2 linked regions of the Caenorhabditis elegans genome follow. The protein of the gene in region 1 purifies or fractionates together with the protein of each later gene. This does not show direct contact. Each region holds a gene or a part of one and is shown on either strand. Other genes may lie near its edges.

Region 1 (3,117 bases):
TGGAGGAATTACGCGAAATTTGCGCGGGAAAATCACGGGCGGTTCCATTTGACAGCGCTGGTGTCCGAGGAGGTCAAGAAATGGTAAGAATTGGTGGAGAATGTTGTTCAAAATTTGATTTTCCGTAACTTTCCGGGTCCTACCGCGAACGAAAATTTCCAACTACAGTACCCCACATGGTAGCTCACGTGGTGCCAGGCTGTCTCATTGCGGTTTGATCTACAAAAATCCAGGAATTTTTCCCCTAGCAAAGAGTGACGTCAGCACGTTCTTAACCATGGGAAATCAATTGAGAACTCTGCGTCTCTTCTCCCGCATTTTTTGTAGATCTACGTAGATCAAAAAGGAGACACTCTGACACCACGTGGTAGCTGAGAAGTTTTGTTCGTGCCAAGACCCAAAGCATGGATTTGATCGAAAAAATATTATGCCAGTCCGAGTTTTTAGTCGTAATCGCAACTTTTTGGGTCCTGCCGCGAACGTAACTTTCCAACTACAGTACCCCCACACGATAGCCAAATTCGTTCGTGCCAAGACCCAAAACTGGGATTTTGGCTAAAAATGTATTTTTTTTCAGAAGAAATTGAATTTTAACGAGAAAAATTGGTTTTTTTTTCCTGGAAATTTTCGAATTTTCCAAATTTCAAATTTCCCGATCTTTCAGGTCCATCTACCCTGCCTTCATCACGATGAAGCCCTATGACCCCTTCGTAAAAGCCTTCACACTTCATAAGGATCTCAACTGGAATCGAATGGTCGACTACTTGGAGGACGGTGTACACCCGGGCTGTCATCAATTGTCAAGTCCCTCCGATTTCCTCTTCGCCACCGGAACCCAGAAGCCTCTGGTCGTATTTTTCGACCCACTGGACTCTAAAAATTCTGAAGGATTCAAAAAATCTGCTGCCGAGCAGCAAAGCGGCGATCGAATTGCTCATTTTTCGGCTGTAACCGGTTTCGACCTGTTTGGACTGTATGTGATGAGCGTTTTTAATGTGAATTCCCCGAGCTATATTGTCATTCGGCGACAGGTACTTTCACTTTTTAACTTCAAATTAAATTCATTTTTTCCAGGAAAAAGGATGGTGCATCCACACAAAACCCGCTGAAAACGACAATTTCACTGGAATTCTTTCATGGGTTCGGAATTTGGAGCCAGTTCACTGCCAGGAGCTCATTGAAAACTTCAAGTTCCCAATTGCTCGTTTGAATCTGTTGGAGCGGTATGATGACGTGGAAGAGCTAGAGAAAGGGTTCACGGCCGTGGAGTGGACTAGGGACGAGCTATAGGAATTTTAAAAAATTGCTCTGTTGTAATTTGGTAAAAATAAATAATTTAATTTGTTTTAATTTGATGTTTTACAGATTAAAATTGCATTAAAAATTTATATTTAAGAATTAATTAATTTTCCCTGCTCGTCATTTTAAATGCCAGTTCCGCAGGTACACCGCCACGGTAGATTGCGGACAAAAGAATCCTTTTTTTAGCTGTTTTAAGGAAATAACAAGAAATTTCGATGAAAATTTTCAGTTTTAAGCTTTCATACTAAGATTTAATAAAAAACAGACAATTTTAATGTAGAATTGCAGGCGATATCCTAGTTTCCACACTGAAAATCACTTGCGCGTCAAATAAAATGCAAAGTACGCATTGACACCGTCACGTCCCATTGCACACAATTTCTCAATTATTATTTTTCTTTTTCGATCTTTTGATTTTAAATCTGAAAATGGACATGATCGAGCTTGAAAAAAAGATTTCTGAAATTGAAGAAGTTCTAGGAATCGATGATCTCACCACGGTAAGCTTTTTTCGCGCAATTTCCAATAAAAATGCCAATTTTTTTTCCAGAAAACATCAATTCCCTCTCAAATCGAGGCTCTTCAATCCAAATTACGAGATGATTGTAAGGCGAATCTGCTAATGTCGATTCCCATTCAAAAGCTGGAGCATTTGAGCAAAATCGCCACGGAAGTACGTTGGAAAAACTGAATTTTCTGTGAAAAATCGATTTTTCAGACATCCGGCCCATATGGATCGCTGACTGACAAAATAGAGTCTGTAAAATACGCGGAAAAGCTGATCAATGAACGAGCGGAACGGATTAAACAATTTTCAGATGCTCTTGAGGTCTTTTTTTGCGATTTTTCAGAGAAAATTGAAGAAAAATAAAAAATTTCAGCCCTGCCTCGACCAGGAGCTCTTCTCAAAAGTGGCTGCACTTCAACCGGAGCTTGACGCTGAAATCGAAAAATACGAGAAGGCCCTGGAGGACTGGACCAAGTAATTGCAGTTTTTAAAGCCTAAAAATCTGAAATTTCCAAAATTTCAGAACCTACGGAGAATTCCAGACACTTGTCGCCGAGCGGTCAATGATCAACCAAAAAATCACCGAAAAAGTGCTGGATCTGCAGACGAAAATCAACGCAAAAGCTAAATAATTAAATATTTTTTCGCTGGATTGTAATTTATTTTTATTTTCTTTGTTTTCCTGTAAAAATTGAAATTCTACAAGTTTTTTGTTAGACAGAAAGACGAATTGGCAGCAATTATCGACTTTTCGAAGTGGGCAAGATGATGACGTTGTTTCGGGAAATTGGAAAATTTGTTTTTTTCCAATTTTTTTCCTCGCAAGAAAAATAGTTTTCTCTCCATTTGAATTACTAGATTTTTCAAAAAATTTGAACTTTTCTCCGTGGAGCGCGCTTGCATTATTAGATTTTACGAAAATTTGAATATTTCTCAGTGGAGCGCACTTACACCTCACTTTTTTCCAAAATTTTTAGTAATTCTCGATGGAGCGCGCTTGCAGCAAGGTAATTTTCAAAATTTTCCCAAAATCTCTATGTAGCGCAGTTGTAATCCAAAATTACAGCTAATTACCAGTAGAGCGCGCTTGCATCAGTATTTTTAAAATTTTTTTGAAATCAATTATCAGTGGAGCGTACTTGCATCCCAATAAATTTCATATAGTGCCAGGCTGTCCCATTACAGTTTGATCTACAAAAAATTCGGGAATCAGCACGTTCTTAACCATGCGAAATCAGTTGAGAAACCTGCGTCTCTTCTCTCGCATTTTTTGTAGATCTACGTAGATCAAGCCAAAATGAGACACC
Region 2 (3,756 bases), about 12 Mb from region 1:
GTGTCCTCCATCTTTCCATTTAGAGCAAGTGTTATCGGATTTTTGACTGATAAGATGCCTATTAGGTAGGCACAGCAGGCTCGGAGGAAGCCGCCCCCCCCCCTAAATGCCCACCAACAAGTCTACAAAATGACCCAGTGTAGTATGCACTTCCGATATTTTTCATTAAACCCACCGCGGCAATGCAATTTCGAAGAGATCCACCACGAGTGTTCCCGTTTTCCAATAATGACTCCTTCAAAACGACGACAATTTGCATGTGGAGCGAGTGTTCTAAGGAATTCCAGGGATCTTCTGATTGCAAAAACTGTTTCCGGAGCTGAAATACATAACAAAATTATTTCAAATTCCCCTCGGTAAATATATGTATTCTTTTAAACAAGCTGAAACTCACCCTAGTCTTTCAGGACTTTCAATAAATAGAGTTCTTCGGACCACATCGACAACAGTCGGCCATTAACCAGTACGTCTGTTTTTCATTTCTCTCGCCAAAATTTTCATATGGTGCAATTGTAGTCGGAGTCTTGACAACAGATTGACAAACTTCTATGTGTCATGTAGATGTCCTCCTAAATTAAAAATTGTTAAAATGTGGCAGAAGACACATGCGCAATACCTCAAACATGTCATCACTCAATTCCGATCCAAACTACGATTATCTGATGTTTTCGTATCCATTGTCTTTATCAGAACTTCCTTTAGTCATGCGAGCTGGTACTTGTACTGGCGTGGTGGTCACTGAAAGTAAATGAAATTTCTGTCGGAATTTGTGAGAAAAAATGAAACATGTTTAACTTTGCAAAGCTACAAAAGATTATTTCGATAAACAGTTTTCAATTATGGAAAAAGAAACGAGCAGAAAATATGAAAGCAACAAGGATTTGAAAGCAGAAAACAATAAAAAAAAACTGTGCACCACAACGGTCTGCAGACAGCACTCTATTGTGAGAGACGCCGAGAGAGGGAGGAAGAGGGCCATGTTGCGCAGAGATCACAACACTGCGGGCACTGTGCCAAGTATCATTCCGGATGGGAGACGTGTGTGTGTGTGTGTAGTATAGACGACAAGATTAAAAAACAATGCAAGAGGCGTTTGTTTTTGTAGATCACACGTAGATCACAATGTATTTGTAGATAACAATAAAACAGAAATACGATTTGAGAGATAAATAAACTGTGATCTACGCAAAATTTACACAGAAACTGCTGAAAGTGATGACTACTGTATACGGTTCGAGAAACTTTCGAGAAACTTTCCCCAACAACTTTCTCCAACTTTGGACAACTTTCGGCGAAGAAATACAAGATAGGATATTCAAATGAATGAAAAATGTTTTTTGGTTTTATCAACTTACTTTTTGGTTCAGGTTTTTTTTTCTAGCAAGCCATTTTGTTTTCAAATGCTAATTTGTCTTGTATGTAGTTAATAAACTTCTATTTTCGGTGAACAAAATCTCGAAAACTTCATTTAAAACTTGAAATTCATCAATTCCCACTGCAAACTGCGTATCGGAATTCGGAGTCTCGTTTGGCCACGCCCACTTTGTTGTTTGAACTTCAATTTTGAAATTAACAGTTTAGAGCTCTAATTAGAGCTATATATTGCAAAATATTTCCAATGTTTTGGTGATTAAAAACTGTAACACATTTTAAATAAATATTTTTATGGAAAAATTTCCAAAAAAATCCATGAAAATTCCACAGCAACGGAAGTTTGAAATTACAGTACTCTTTAAAGGCGCGCGCGTAAGAGGATTGCTTTCTTTTTGCTCAGGTCCGCATCGAATCCTGTTGTAATATTTTGCCAGAAGTATAGGTGCATGTATTCTTATTATACTATTGGAAAATCAATAGTTTCCGATACTCTCGCTATGTATTTGTTCAGCCTCTGTCCTCCAAAGTACAAAACCCCCATTTCTCCGCGCAAATGATGCATTGTCCGCAAACACGGCGGCTGCAACTCTGCGTACATTTCGCAACTCTCATTTAATTTTGTTTCCACAGAAAATGCCAATTAATCCGGGGTTTTTTAATTGTTTCAAGCTCAAATTTTGGTTAAAACTGTTATTTTATCTTTCAGGTTACAAAATGGACTACGACGTCATCGCCAATCAGCCTGTGGTCATCGACAATGGCTCCGGAGTCATTAAGGCTGGTTTCGCCGGAGAACAGCAGCCAAAGGTAGGCAATAACGAATCAAAACTTGAGATTTTTGAATTTTGAATTTTAAATCATCTTTTAATTCATTTTTTACAGGTTCGCTTCGCCAACTTCGTCGGACGACCGAAATATCACAGAGTAATGGCCGGAGGGCTCGACGGAGACATTTTCATCGGACCAAAGGCCGAATCAAACCGCGGGTTGTTCTCAATCGAATACCCAATGGAACACGGAATCGTCAATAACTGGAGCGATATGGAAAAAATTTGGGAGTACATTTTCGGACAGGATCAGCTGAAAATCTTCCCAGAAGAGCATCCAGTTCTGCTCACCGACGCCCCATTGAATCCGTTGAAGAACCGCGAGCGATCTGCTGAGATCTTCTTCGAAACGTTCAATGTTCCAGCGTTATATATTCAAATGCAAGCTGTGCTATCGCTGTACGCCACCGGAAGAACGACCGGAGTCGTTTTGGATTCAGGAGACGGAGTCACACATGCTGTTCCGATTGTTAAGGGATTTGCAATGAAGCATGCGTCAGTAAACTCTGGGAAATTGCTTTAAAACACGCCTATGTGGTCACAATGACCGAATATCATGATAAAAAAATTCAAAAAAATTTTCTAGATTTTATATGATTTTTTTTTTTTGAAAGTTGCGAAAATCCCAGTTTTCCCCTAATTCCGGTTTGAATTTCCGCCATATGAATTCGTTCGCTGGAGCGCACTTGCATTTCATTTTATTTTTTCTCATTATTTCACTGGTTTTTCTTCATTCTTTGTGTATTTTTATCGGAATAAGAGAGAAAAATTCAAGATAAATTGCAAATTATTTATTTAAAAATCACTGAAAATGCGTAAAACTGTAAAATTATGAGTTCCGGCGATAGCAAACCTGAAATTAGCTTAGTTCACAGTTTCACCCATTTTCAGTGATTTTTAAATAAATAATTTGCAATTTATCTTGAATTTTTCTCTCTTTTTCCGATAAAAATACACAAAGAATGAAGAAAATCAGTGAAGTAATGAGAAAAAATGAAATAAAAATTTAAATTAATAAAAATAATGCAAGTGCGCTCCAGCGAACGAATTCAATTGGCGGAAATTCAAATAGGAATTAGGGGGGAAAACTGATATTTTTGCAATTTTCAAAAAATCATATAAAATCAGGAAAATTTTTTTGAATTTTTTAATCATGATATTCGGTCATTGTGACCACATAGGCGTGTTTTAAAGCAATTTCTCCATTGGGCGCACTCCACCTTTAAAAAAAGCATTTAATTCTAAAATTTCCTTTTTTCAGAATTCAACGAATGGATTTGGCGGGTCGCGATGTCACCGAATACCTCCGAGTCCTTCTGCGCAGAGAAGGATACGAGTTCCACAGGAGCAATGAGTTCGAAATTGTCCGAGAGATGAAGGAGAACGCGTGCTATTTGGCGTTGGATCCGACGAAAGTGGAGAATAATTCAGTGAAAGTAGTGATTTTTTTTGCAGTGAAAATGAGCTGAAAATCGCATTCTTTCAGTCATCCTACGCTCTGCCAGACACCACGAAAATCGAAATCTCCAACTCATTGTTCCGTGCGCCGGAAGTG

The links. Proteins that work in one complex are often made in the same cells at the same time.
Region 2: the proteins of dnc-3 (region 1) and arp-1 purify together in Caenorhabditis elegans (affinity purification with western blotting; 2 studies listed by BioGRID, with this or other methods). This does not show direct contact.

What each region holds. Positions count from the first base shown.
Region 1 is NC_003280.10:3,552,106-3,555,222, forward strand, and holds dnc-3 (DyNactin Complex component), read left to right. Parts: upstream 1-1,674; 5' UTR 1,675-1,730; coding exon 1,731-1,802; intron 1,803-1,852; coding exon 1,853-1,975; intron 1,976-2,020; coding exon 2,021-2,131; intron 2,132-2,183; coding exon 2,184-2,284; intron 2,285-2,333; coding exon 2,334-2,442; 3' UTR 2,443-2,512; downstream 2,513-3,117. Other genes in the region: W10G11.19 (DUF4105 domain-containing protein), read left to right, coding at 1-83, 665-1,031, 1,075-1,290.
Region 2 is NC_003280.10:15,118,221-15,121,976, forward strand, and holds the start of arp-1 (Actin), read left to right. Parts: upstream 1-2,080; 5' UTR 2,081-2,088; coding exon 2,089-2,181; intron 2,182-2,256; coding exon 2,257-2,696; intron 2,697-3,462; coding exon 3,463-3,637; intron 3,638-3,687; coding exon 3,688-3,756.